Anolis sagrei: one gene and its partner. The protein of the gene in region 2 purifies or fractionates together with the protein of the main gene of each other region. This does not show direct contact. Links are inferred from orthologs where the notes say so. Each region holds a gene or a part of one and is shown on either strand. Other genes may lie near its edges.

Region 1 (7,183 bases), on a different chromosome or scaffold from region 2:
ATGTCAACTTTCCTTCGGATCTTGTACAGTTTCAAATGCTTTTGAAGGGGGTCCAGGGCAGCAGCATCACATTCCAGCAGGAGGTGAGGCTCTTCTTGCGAGTTTACGTGAAGCCTGAAAAACATCCAAAATCAGGAAAAAACAAATACCTCTCTTGGAACTAAGCCTTTCAATCCCAACTTCGGCCCCTTCCTGTGTTGTGCCAGATTGTGGCCTTTTTTAAATTATTGTTTACTATATTTTTTATTTCACTTTTCTCCCAATATGGGGACTGAGGGCTTTCCCAGTTCATCTCTCTTTTGCCTTCTGCTACAGTTCTGCTTCCCAGAAGACACAGTGAATTACATTTTCAAAAACAAGAATTGCCTTCCTTGTTTTTTCTGGCTTGGTAGTAGTGTACACATATACTATACAATCAATGAAGTTTGGCACCATATTAACTGTCTTGATTCAATGCTATGGAATCTTGGGACTTGTAGTTTTGCAAGGTATTTAGCCTCTCCCACCAAAACGTGCTGGAGCCTTACCAAACTACGCCTCCCAGGATTACACAGCATTACACCTCCCAGGATTACACTCTACCTGGTCACGCCCAGCACTTTTTAACTTTAATTTGGCCCTGCCATTGATTTTAACTGCGTCATTGTGTGTTGTGAATGTTATTGCTTTGTTTTTTGAGTTATTTTGCTGTTGCTGTTGTTACTGTTTATACTATTGCATTTGGGCTCGGCCTCTTGTAAGCCGCACCGAGTCCTTCGGGAGATGGTAGTGGGGTACAAATAAAGGATTTATTATTATTATTATTATTATTATTATTATTATTATTATTGAGCCAAGGCAGTTAAAGTGGTGTCAAACTACATTAAGTGTAGATGTCTTAATGTTGTAGCGTTTTTGCTATGTTTGTGTATTTTAATGATTTTGTAACCTGCTCCGAGCCATGAGGCGAGAAATAAAATTGTTGTTGTTTATTTATACCTTGCTTTTTCTCTCCACCAAAGAGAAGCAATCTGGTGTTGCTTCCTGCCTCAATCCACGGGGAGAGGAATAAAACAATGATTAGTAATAGTACAAAATGGGATTTAAAAAAATAATTTTAATGGTGCATATATATAGAGATAGAGAAGACATTAATTATTATGACTTCAATTGCTTTTATATGGATTTTTATTATGTGAGATTACATGTTTTTGTTGATATGTATGTATGTTTATAGCATCTAAATTTTGCCAATCTGTACGCTGCCCTGAGTTGCCTTCGGGCCGAACAGGGCATAGGGTTACAGCCTGTGTTGGATGGGGTCGCACTCCCCCTGAAGACACAGGTTCGCAGCTTGGGTGTGATCTTGGACTCGTCGCTGAGCCTGGAACCCCAGGTTTCAGTGGTGACCAGGGGAGCATTCGCACAGTTAAAACTTGTGCGCCAGCTGTGCCCATACCTTGGGAAGTCTGACTTGGCCACGGTACTACTGCAACGCTCTCTACGTGGGGTTGCCTTTGAAGACTGCTCGGAAGCTTCAAATGGTCCAACGCTTGGCAGCCAGGTTGCTAACAGGAGCAGCACTCAGGAAGCATACTACTCCTCTGTTGCGCCAGCTCCACTGGCTGCCAGTTTGCTACCGGGCACAATTCAAAGTGCTGGCGTTAGCCTATAAAGCCCTAAACGGTTCTGGCCCTACTTACCTCTCTGAATGCATCTCCTCCTATGAACCGGCCAGGACACTAAGATCATCTGGGGAGGCCCTGCTCTCTGTCCCGCCTGCATCACAGGTGCGCTTGGCGGGGACGAGAGACAGGGCCTTCTCAGTGGTGGCCCCTCGGCTGTGGAACGCCCTGCCTGCAGATATCAGATAGGCCCCCTCCCTGCTGGCGTTTCGGAGGAAAGTGAAGACCTGGCTGTTCGTACAAGCATTTGATTAAACAGTGTAATTGAACATAGGAATATGGAATAATGGATGGTGAGACTGGATTCTGATTTTACTGTTGAGGCGCTAATGATTGTTATACTGATGTTTAATTATTTATGTTACAATTGTTTTTAATTGCCCTATACTTGTCTCGTGATGTTTTGTATTGATGTTGTTCACCGCTTTGAGTCGCCTGAGGGCTGAGAAAAGCGGTATATAAATAAAGTAAATAAATAATAAATAAATAAAAGAGCAGGATAAAAATGCTGTAAAGAGACTTAAAGAGACTTAAAAAGCCAAAAAAACCCCAAAAATTACATTACGCGTGCACAAAACCACACACACACACACACACACACATATATAAACACACATATACACACAGACTGGGCCACAGCAAAGCGTGGCAAGGGATGGCTAGTATGTATATATATGTATATGGATATGTATGTGTATATATATATATCTCGAGAGAGATAAAATAACTTCCAAAATTAGAAATTGATCAGGATGTATCCACTTCGGGGGCAAGCTAATTTCTAAGCTTGGCTCCCCTTGCATTAGATCCCTAAGTGCAAAAAACCCCAAGCCAAGTGGACATGCCAACTCTGTTTAGCATCTCTCTCCTTCTCACCTGTACAGGATGACGTCATAGAGGCAGCGCCCCTGGACGTTGAGCGCATGCGCGTAGAGCGCTCGTGGCGTGGTTAGAGAAGCCCCGCCCCCCTCCTGCGTCAAGAGCGTCACGTCATTCGTCAGCAGCCCTTGGAGGAAGGTCGCCGCCTCCGGGCCTCGGAGCCGTAGCAGTGCCCGGCTCTCCAGCGGGAAGCAGGTGGTCACCACGGTGGCCGCTTGGCTGCCTCCTTTTTCCCCGCTTAGCTTCCTCTCTCCGCTCCGGAGGCCCAAGCGGAGGGAGAGAGCCCTCCGCAGCGCCGCACTCGCCCTCACCAACATGGCGGCGCTCGAAGAAAGCGAGTTGTCTTTCACCCCGCACACATCTTGGCTGAGGAGACGAGTTGCGCCGACTGCGCAGGCGCATCAACATCTTCGCTAAGGGAGGCGGGACTATCCCCGTTCTTGGCTTCTTATTAGTCGAGGTGCCTGCCTGTTTTCCCGTGGCCACGCCCTCTCAAAGTTTCCCAAGCTCTGGCCTTCAGGGACTTTGGGGACTTCAGTTCCCAGAGTTCCTTGGAATTGGCCAAGGAATTGTGGGAGCTGAAGTCCAAAACACCTGGAGGGAGGACTCAAGTTGGCCCAAGCCAACTTGGTATAAAGGTTCCCAAGAAGGAGCTTCCACCGGGCACTGAGGCAGAGAGTTCCACTGGTGAACAGCTTTTCTTAGTCAGGAAGTTCACTTAGAATCTCCTCTGGAGGGAGGACCCAAGTTGGCCCAAGCCTGGTTTAAAGGTTTCCAAGAAGGAGTTTCCACTGGACCCTGAGGAAGAGAGTTCCACTGGTGAACAGCTTTTCTTAGTCAGGAAGTTCAGCTAGAATCTCCTCTGGAGAGATGACCCAAGTTGGCCCAAGCCTGGTTTAAGGGTTTCCAAGAAGGAGTTTCCACTGGACCCTGAGGTAGAGAGTTCCACTGGTGAACAGCTTTTCTTAGTCATGAAGTTCAGCTAGAATCTCCTCTGGAGGGAGGACCCAAGTTGGCCCAAGCCTGGTTTAAGGGTTTCCAAGAAGGAGCTTCCACCGGGCCCTGAGGCAGAGAGTTCCACTGGTGAACAGCTTTTCTTAGTCAGGAAGTTCATCTAGAATCTCCTCTGGAGGGAGGACCCAAGTTGGCCCAAGCTTGGTTTAAGGGTTTCCAAGAAGGAGCTTCCACTGGACCCTGAGGCAGAGAGTTCCACTGGTGAATAGCTTTTCTTAGTCAGGAAGTTCAGCTAGAATCTCCTCTGGAGAGAGGACCCAAGTTGGCCCAAGCCTGGTTTAAGGGTTTCCAAGAAGGAGTTTCCACCGGGCCCTGAGGCAGAGAGTTCCACTGGTGAACAGCTTAGCTTGGTCAGGAAGTTCAGGTAGAATCTCCTCTCCTGTAATTAGAACCCATGGCTCTATTGAGTCCTGGTTTCAAGAGAAGCAGAAAACAAGCCTGTTCCTTGTGACACCCTTTCCCATATTTATCCATGGCTATCCTGTCTCCTCTCAACATTCTCTTCTGCAGGCTAAAGAGACCCAGTTCTTTAGGGCGCTCCTCATAGAGATTCATCGTCTCCAGACCTTTGATCCTTTGAGTCGCCCTCTTCCTCTGGACGCCTTCCAGTTTAAGAGTCAATATCCCCATTGAACTGTGGGACTCAGAACTGGACACGTTGTGATTTTGAGATCAAAGGTAACCCCTCTCCCCCAGGTCTCAGTAAAAGATGGTTCAAAATCAGGGAATTCATAGTTTTGCCAAGGACAACAGGCTGGGATGATCCCACAATCCCCTATCTCTCCCCCATGTGGGAACCTAAGGTAGAGTTAGATAGATAAGGATAAGATTAGTCTGGTTTCCCCAATATCATAATTATTTCATTAATCAGGAGCCCCCAATGGCGCCATGGGTCAAACCCTTGTCCCGGCTGGACTGAAGACCGAAAGGTCGGAGGTTCAAATCCGGTTATTTATTTGTCGTGTCAGGGCAACCAGTCAATTATGTTACATTTCTAACAGAACAAAGCAAACAAACAGACCAAATACAAAATTTGTGAGTTTGGTAGTTGATTAAGTGTCCTTTGAGCAGTATTTGGCCACTTGGAGTGCTTCTGGTGTTGCCGCAAGAAGGTCCTCCATTGTGCATGTGGCAGGGCTCAGGGTGCATTGCAGCAGGTGGTCAGTGGTTTGCTCCTCTCCACACTCGCATGTCGTGGATTCCACTTTGTGGCCCCATTTCTTGAGGTTGGCTCTGCATCTCGTGGTGCCAGAGCGCAGTCTGTTCAGCGCCTTCCAAGTCTCCCAGTCTTCTGTGTGCCCAGGGGGGAGTCTCTCATTTGGTATAACCCTCGGATTGAGGTTCTGGGTTTGAGCCTGCCACTATTGGAATCTTGCTTGCTGGGATGTTCCAGCAAGTGTCTCTGTAGATCTTAGAAAACTATTTCTAGATTTAAGTCATTGACGTGCTGGCTGATACCCAAACAGGGAATGAGCTGGGGATGTCCCTGCCTTGGTCCTTTCACTATTGGCTGCTACTTCCCGGCGGATGTCAGGTGGTGCAATACCGGCTAAGCAGTGTAATTTCTCCAGTGGTGTAGGGCGCAGGCACCCCGTGATAATGCGGCATGTCTCATTAAGAGCCACATCCACTGTTTTAGTCTGGTGAGATGTGTTCCACACTGGGCATGCATACTCAGCAGCAGAGTAGCATAGCGCAAGGGCAGATGTCTTCACTGTGTCTGGTTGTGATCCCCAGGTTCTGCCAGTAAGCTTTCGTATGATATTGTTTCTAGCGCTCACTTTTTGCTTGATGTTCAGGCAGTGCTTCTTGTAGGTCAGAGAACGGTCCAGAGTGACTCCCAGGTATTTGGGTGCGCTGCAATGCTCCAGTGGGATTCCTTCCCAAGTAATCCTCAGAGCTCAGGATGCTTGTCTGTTCTTAAGGTGAAAGGCACATGTCTGTGTTTTAGATGGATTAGGGATCAGCTGGTTTTCCCTGAAATAGGCAGTAAGGGCACCTAGAGCTTCGGTGAGTTTTTGTTCAACCATCTCAAAGCTCCCTGCTTGAGCAGTAATGGCACAATCATCAGCATAGATGAAACTCTCTGTCCCTTCTGGCAGTGGCTGGTCATTTGTGTAGATGTTGAACATGGATGGAGCAAGCACGCTCCCCTGAGGCAGGCCATTCTTCTGTTTCCGCCATCTGCTTCTCTGGCCCTGGAACTCAACAAAAAAGCTCCTGTTTTGTAGCAGGTTTCCTATGAGGCGGTCGTCCTTTGTGATATTATACATTTTTCTCAGGAGGAGGCGGTGGTTCACAGTATCATAGACAAGTCTATGAAGACAGCTCCTGTGATCTGAATTTGAATTTGAGATACACTCTATGCTTCTTTGCAAGAGCATAACACAGTCTTTCAAGTACTCATCAGACTACAATCTCCATCAGTAGGGATTGTGGCACAGCTGGCTGAGTGTCAGCTGCATTAAGATCACTCTGACCAAAAGGTCATGAGTTTGAAGCCAGCCCGGGTTGGAATGGGTTTCCAACCAATTGTGTAGCCTGTTGTCGACCTTTGCAACCCGACAGACAATTGCATCTGTCAAGTAGGAAAATTAGGTACCACCTTAAAGTGTGGGGAGACTAAATTAACTAATTTATGAGGCCATAAAAAAGATTCCAGCAAAAAGCATGCGGGGAATGCGGAAGTACTTCATCAGTGTCATGAGTTCGAAGTGTCATGAGTTCAGGTCATGAGTTCGAAGCCAGCCCGGGTTGGAGTGGGTTTCCAACCAATTGTGTAGCCTGTTGTCGACCTTTGCAACCTGAAAGACAGTTGCATCTGTCAAGTAGGAAAATTAGGTACCACCTTAAAGTGTGGGGAGGCTACATTAACTGATTTATGAAGCCATAAAGCATTCCAGCGGGGAAGCATGCGGGGAATGCGGAAGTACTTCATCAGCGTCGCAGATGGACGATGAAAGCGACAGCTCCCCTGGCGGCCAGAAAAAGTTAAATAGCCTCTGTGTATGTCTGTATATGTTGTATGTCAAAATTGGCATTGAATGTTTGCCATATATGTGTACACTGTAATCCACCCTGAGTTCCCTGCGGGGTGAGAAGGGCGGAATATAAATGCTGTAAATAAAAATAAAATAAATAAATGCTACATTTTTACAGAGTTTACAGACACGATCAATCTTGCAAGAGACCAAGAAAACACAAGCATTTTATTTATTTTTATTAGTTCTGTCATCCTAAGTACAATCAGGCCATAACATTTACTCCCCGAAAAATATTTACAGAGACAAGAGTCAATTTCACACTCAACAGGTTTCTCATACAAGTTAGTACAAAAAAACAAAAACAAGACATCTCCCCACCCCCCCCCCCCCCAAAAAAAAACACACAGTGGAAACTTCATAACAACATAGATTTATTATATGGACATTTTGTTACTTTCAAGTATTTTCCAGTGGAATGGAATGTGAGTGAGAGATTCATTTTGTTCTGGGTTGCTGTAGGTTTTCCAGGCTGCGTGGCCATGTTCCAGAAGCATTCTCTTCTGACGTTATGCCCACATCTATGGCAGGCATCCTCAGAGGTTGTGAGGTCTGTTGGAAACTAGGCAAGTGAGATATATATCT
Region 2 (6,925 bases):
GTTTAAAAAAATTGTATCTATGTAATTTATTATATATATATTTTTATGTTCATGTTTTTGAATTTGTTGTACCCTGCCTCAAGCCATTAGGAGAGGCGGGCAATAAAAAAAAATATTAGGCTTGAGCAGATGGGGACTCCTGGAATTAAGTCTCTATGGATACTAAGGGGCCACTGTATTACAAATTGAACAAATAGCAAAACAATTACTATATGAAGAGGAAATATAATAACAGTTAGAATGAGGGCAAATTACTACCAAATTGCATTCAAATCCTTAAATATGTGTACTGAGAAGTTCCATGTTCTCAGCATAACTTACTCTCAAGTTTGTTTGCACAGGATAAATTATCTGAAACCTTTATTTTCACGAGAAGGCTGAACTACGGTAGTTGTAATATTTGTGTGAACCCTTAAATAGCTAAGGGGAAAAAGAAAGGAGCATGAGGCTGATAGGAATTGTGGGAGTTGAAGTCCAAAACACCTGGAGAGCCAAAGTTTGCCCATACCTGCTCTAAAGGGTGCATCTTCGCAGTTTGACACCACCTAAATTGTCATGGCTCAAAACTAATGTGTGTGTGTGGGTGTATGATGTTGATGTGTTTCGACTGTGTTGTACACCAAACTAATATATACTCACAAATACAACAGTATGTATAGGTCAATAATCAATAAACAGGTATGAAATATAAACTTATATTGAATAAACAAGTACAAATTTACAAGTATAACGTTGATGCTCCATACATCAGAATGAATATCAAATTAAACATAAGTTTGCCGCTTGTAAAGTCAGTCAGTTGAATTGAAGAGTCTGTAGATCACACGACCGGTTTTGACTTTTTTAATCTTCCTCAGGCAACTATGTAATTTTATATTTCCATGATAAACACTTTACATTCATCTCTCAAGTAGTATTATGTCTTTTTTCAATTTATATCAATGGTGGGTAAGTGTGAATTTATATCTTTCTGAGATACTCTGTTAACACTCTGTTCTTATTGCGCCTGAGGAAGACTAAAAAAGTCAAAACTGGTCGTGTGCTCTACAGACTTTTCAGTTCAACTGGCTGACTTCACAAGCAGCAAATTTGTTTAGTTTTATATTCTTTCTGATGTACGGAGCATCAACATTATACTTGTAAATTTGTATATGTTTATTCAATTTTATATTCCATACCTGTTTACTGATTATTTATCTATACATACTGTTGTATTTGTGGATATATATTTGGTGCATAATCAGGAATCCATTTAATTTATATTCTTCCAAAGCTTTGACTGTGTTGTACCCTGCCTCAAGCCATGAGAAGGTGAGTAACTAATTATTATTATTATTATTTGAAACACAACAAGATGAGTCCACAGCACTGCTGGCTGTTGTATTGGATCATACGTCAGACACTTCCCAAGTGTCTAGGACTGTATGATGTATCGGCGGATAATGCGTGCCAATCCCAGTAAGGTGGCCTTCTGCAGCTGGCAGCTGGCAATTTTGTCAGCGCTGATTGTGTTTAAGTGCAGGCCTAGGTCTTTAGGCACTGCACCCAGTGTGCCTATCACCACTGGGACCACCTTGACTGGCTTGTGCCAGAGTCTTTGCAGTTCGATCTTTAAATCCTCATGTCATGTCAGCCTTTCTAGTTGTTTCTCTTCAATACTACTGTCACCTGGGATTGCAACATCGACAATCCATACTTTGTTTTTAATAGGATCGTGAGGTCAGGAATATTGTGCTCCAAACTTTGTTTGTCTGAATTTGGAAGTCCCAGAGTAGTTTGACGTGTTCATTTTCTGTAACTTTTTCCAGCTTGTTATCCCACTAGTTAGTTGTCGCAGGCAGATGGTATTTGTGGCACAAGTTCCAATGAATCATCTGAGCAACTGTGTTATGTAGTCTGTCTGCGCAATCTTCTTGCAGCAGCTGAGGATGTGATCTAGTGTTTCATATGCTTCCTTGTAGAGTCTACATTTGGGGTCTGTCATTGACTTTTCAATTCTGGCTTTGGTGGCATTGATTCGAATGGCTTGTTCTTGTGCTGCCAGAATCAGGCCCTCCATCTCCTTTTTCAAAGTTCCATTTGTGAGCCACAGCCATTTTTTCTTTGTCAATTTGGCTCTCAATTTTCCCAGGAACTGTCCATGGAGAGCCTTCTTTCACCAGTTTTCTCTTCTGTTCTGGATTGTGTTTTTACGGTATTCACTCTTTGGGATCACAAGCCTTTTGCATTATTATTGGTATTATTACTATGGAATCATGGGAGATGTGTTCTGGTAAGGCACCAGCACTCTTTAGCAGAGAAGGCTTGTAAAACCACAGCTCTCATAATTCAATAGCAATGAGTCATAGCAATTAAAGTGGTGTCAAACTGCAATCATTCTACAGTACAGATGCACTGTAAGACTGAAGGAGAAATGTCAACAAAATTTGTAGCTATTACAGATTATGAGGGTTGCCAGAGTGAAAACTAGAGAGGCCTCCTGTGCATTTAAAATCCTGCAGAAGCAGGAATTTTGGCAGGTGTGTATCACCAGGTAAGAATCAATCCTTTCTTATTCTAGAAGCCCTCGCTAGTTTTCACTCTGTCAACAACAACTTGTCTGACAGCCTAAGACGATTTCGGCTCCATGAACCGCCGTTGCTATTTTCTTAAGTCTGCCTTCTTCCAATTCCCAACCTCTGGGCCTCCAGGCTTGTTTGGGACTTCAAATCCCAGAAGCCTCAGCCAGTTTGGCCAACTGCCAGGAATTCTGGGAGATGAAGTCCAAAACACCTTGAGGACTAAATAAAGATTGAAAGCCGTACATGCAATGTTAAACAAAGTTGACTCCCTCCCTTCCACTAAAAACCATCTCGCTCAGTCTGAGGGCAGCTTTAGACGACTGGCGGGAAAAGGGGAAAGAACCGCCACTACCTGCTCCGCCCGCAAATCTTCAGCGCCCTGAAACAAGTAAGTGCTCCCAGTGCCGCCATGTTGTTCTCCTCTTGACTCTGTCTCTATTGGTGCAGACGAACCATATGTCCCGCCTACGCCCTACGTCAATTGGTTTGCGGCAGAGGAGACGGTTGCGCCATTGGAAGTTAGCGGAGAGTGACGGGAAGGTCACGTGGTTTGGAGTGAAGGCGAGGAAATCCGGGCGGAAGGGTCTGGGAAGCCAAGTCTCATGTTTGTACATTCTGAAGCATTTTGATTGGCTGGCGCAGAGACCTCAAAGGCGGGAACTTTTACTACTGCCTCTTGAGTTTCTTGTGTGAATCTGTTTAGGGGTGAAAGGAGTTTCCTTCTATTATAATTGGAGAAAAATAACTGAAAAGCTATTCTAAATGAAAACATTGAAAACATAGCATCAGTTGGGGGCCCCTCCCTCCAACAACAATATAGTACTATATAATACTAATATTGTACTATTCTAATATAATATATTGTATATACATATTACCTTGAAGGAGCTGGGGGTGGTGACGGCCGACAGGGAGCTCTGGCGTGGGCTGGTCCATGAGGTCACGAAGAGTCGGAGACGACTGAATGAATGAACAACAACAATACGAATATTGTACTATGCTCATAATATATTGTATATACATATAATATAATATAATAATATATACATATGACCTTGAAGGAGCTGGGGTTGGTGACGGCCGACTGGGAGCTCTGGCGTGGGCTGAGGTCATGAAGAGTCAGAAACGACTGAACGAATGAACAACAACATATAATATTGATAATAATATAATACAATACAATATAATACTAATAATAATACAATATAATAATATTAATTATATATTAGATGTAATATTACTAATAATATTACAGTGTAGTGGTATAGTACAATATAGTAATATATAATGCTAATTTTGTAGCATGCTAATAATATAATATATTGTATGTACATATAACTTGTAAGCTGCTATGAGTCACCTCTGGGTTAGAGAGGGAAGGGTATAAATATAGTAAATAAATTAATAATATAAATAAACTCTGATCATATTTTCAGGGTTTTTTTTTTCGTGTCAGGAGCGACTTGAGAAACTGCAAGTTGCTTCTGGTGTGAGAAAACTGGCCGTCTCCTTGTGAGAGACTTCTCTCATATCTCCGCATGAGGAGCCGGAGCTGACAGAGGAAGCTCAACCCTTTCTCCCCAGATTCAAACCTCCAACCTGCTACTCTTCAGTCCTGCTAGCACAAGGGTTTAACCCATTGCGCCACTGGGGTGAATTTATTCTTATTCATATGTAACCCTCCTCCCAAAGTGTAACTAATAGGGCTTGCTAACACGTATGTTTACAGGCTTAATGATAATGTATGTATATAATGTTATTATAAATTAAGCAATGGAGGTAAAAGTGAATTAAGGTCTACAAGAACACAGGTTAATGTTCTGTGCTATTCATAGCCTATCTTGTAGTCCGCAGTCCCTATCTCACAAAGTAACTGATGGTGTAATCTACCACTGAATTGCATGATAATACCTCAGTTGAAGGACACCACACAAATTGCTCCCCCAAAGCCTCTCCCTATTCCTTTTTTGAGAAACCCTTATGGAATTCATGGGGTCACCCTAAGATAATAGATAAACTGAGGGCAGACACACACGTAAATAAATAATATATATACAAGCAGCCCCCAAGTTACTTTTACACCTCCTCAAGCTTTTAAAGCTAATTTCACCAGAAATGAAGACAATCCCCAAACAGTAAATAGAAAGCAAAAGTGACATTTGTTCTGTTCCAGATAATTTTGGGGCTGATCTCTGGTTGAAAACAGAAGTGAGATCCACCGGAGATTTGTGCTAAGAAGCAAATTTGCCCTTTCTCCTTCTGTAGTAGCTCACTCCAGTGTAAACTCTAGTTTACACTGATGATTCAGCCCTCATTCAGCCCATGATGATTCAGCCTCACCTATGGATTGTTTTTAGCTATAGCCCTACAGAAAATCAAATGCCATTGACCCAAGTATTGATCAATTCTGCCTTTATTACCAAAATGTTTTCTCTAGTGACCAATGATTTTTACATTTTTACTTCTGATAGATGTTTGTATGTAATTGATTACTTTGCTGGCTCACATAACACCAACCAAGTAAAATGTGCCCATTCTCCCTCAAATAGCACTATTGTAGCATTCATATTAGTATTTACTTCTTGACATGGTTTAGAACAGAAAGCACTGTGGCAGGAAACCACACAAATTGCTCCCCCAAAACCTCTCTATTCCTTTTCTGAGAAACCCCTATGGAATTCATATGGTCACCCTAAAATAATAGGTAATCTGAAGGCAGGCATATATATATATTATCTGTTCATGAGGTCTGCAGTCCCTCCCATTACCTCAAGAAACATAGAGCAAAGGGAAAGCTGCATATCAAAACATAATACAGTATACAGTAAGCAAACAGAATAATATACAAACAAATTACTAGTGGAGGCTTGAAGAAGGTTGCTATTTCCAACACTGTAATAATTGGATTTTGAAAAATGTGGCTTGCTGTTCAACCAATGATTGGTAATAAAGCTTCAGTGGATACATCTTTCCTCCATGATAACCCTTTCACGAGTAAATTTCCAAACCTAGGGGTACATTTCTCTCACTTCCTGTTGTCTTACCCCTGTTCTTAACTATGAGTTGTTTGTAAGTCAGCTGTTTATAACTCGGGAACTGTCTGAATATTGTTTTGAAAGTACCTGAATCTTAATCTACACCAAATGAATAAGATTGAAAAGGAACTGCTCTCGGAGTACCATTCCCACAAACCACTGGATAATATTTAACATTTAGTCTCAAAGTCGCCAAGCCCAAAGTTCAGCACCTAAAATACATACGTTAAATTTAAATTTACCTTATTTCTGGGGAAACCAAATGTGTGCACATTTCTGTGACATATAGGTTGGCCTTAATCAATGTATTGTCCAACTCCCAGCAACTTTAGCCTTGGCTTTTTCACTTCCCTCGTCATAATATGCCTTGAGTTAAATGCATGCTCTTGATGTAGGTGAAAGGGATCTGCTGAACAAGCAAAATTGGCCAAAACGTAAATATGTTCCTTCTTGCTGATCTGACAAGGATGAAGAGACATCTCCAAAGTGACCCTCAAGTGATACGGTTATCATCTTTGTGGTTTTAAAAAACGACGACAACTTGCCCTGCATAAACAAAACAGAGTTCTAATCTTGTGAACTGGACTAAAGGTCTTCAGAAGCAAACAGACTGCAGCCTTCAAATGAATCCTTATGGCATTTTTTGCACACTTCAGTGGGGCTATGGAAAATGTTGCCTAACTGGGTTAAGGCTGAGTTAACTGAGGTGAGACATGCCCAGCGGAGTGGTAAAGGCAGTTTGCTGCAATAGAAACAACACACACACATTTAGGGCCTTGTATGTGTTTAGGTTAACTAACAGCTTATGGAAACCTTGAATTTCATACCATTTTCTTAACCAGAAATTCTCAGAGGTGGTTTGCTATTGCATTACTCTGAAACATAGCTTGCAGCATCTGATATTTCTGGTCAATCTCCCATCCAAGTACTAAGTCTGACTCAGTGTTGCTTCCAAAATCAGATAGAATTGAGCGCTTTTAGGATATTTAGGCCCTTGTGGCATCTTAAACCTTAAAAACTAATAAAGTTGTAAAGTTTTATGGAATATGGTCCAAAAATCAACTATTGCTTTACGGAGGGCGGTGGGGGGGTAGCATGCTTTTAAACTTCCTCAAGCTCTTAAAGCTAATTTCAACTGAAGACAATCCCCAAACTAGGAAATAGAAAGCAAAAGTAACATTTGTTCAGCTCCAGGTATATTTTGGGGCTGATCTCTGGTTGAAAACAGAAGTGAGACCAACCAGTGGTTTGTGCTAAGAAGCAAATTCGCCCTTTCTCCTTCTGTAGTAGCCCACTCCAGTGTAAAGTCTAGTTAATGACCCATGATGA

Evidence for each region. The genes of interacting proteins can lie anywhere in the genome.
Region 1: the proteins of ISCA2 (region 2) and IBA57 purify together in Homo sapiens (co-immunoprecipitation; 4 studies listed by BioGRID and IntAct, with this or other methods). This does not show direct contact. The link is inferred for Anolis sagrei from reciprocal best matches to the Homo sapiens genes ISCA2 and IBA57.

Annotation. Positions count from the first base shown.
Region 1 is NC_090026.1:127,758,822-127,766,004, forward strand, and holds the start of IBA57 (putative transferase CAF17, mitochondrial), read right to left. Parts: upstream 3,003-7,183; 5' UTR 2,861-3,002; coding exon 2,541-2,860; intron 115-2,540; coding exon 1-114. UniProt on the Homo sapiens protein: Mitochondrial protein involved in the maturation of mitochondrial [4Fe-4S]-proteins in the late stage of the iron-sulfur cluster assembly pathway. Operates in cooperation with ISCA2 in the maturation of [4Fe-4S] proteins.
Region 2 is NC_090021.1:304,421,180-304,428,104, forward strand, and holds the start of ISCA2 (iron-sulfur cluster assembly 2 homolog, mitochondrial), read right to left. Parts: upstream 3,016-6,925; 5' UTR 2,973-3,015; coding exon 2,914-2,972; intron 1-2,913. UniProt on the Homo sapiens protein: Involved in the maturation of mitochondrial 4Fe-4S proteins functioning late in the iron-sulfur cluster assembly pathway. May be involved in the binding of an intermediate of Fe/S cluster assembly.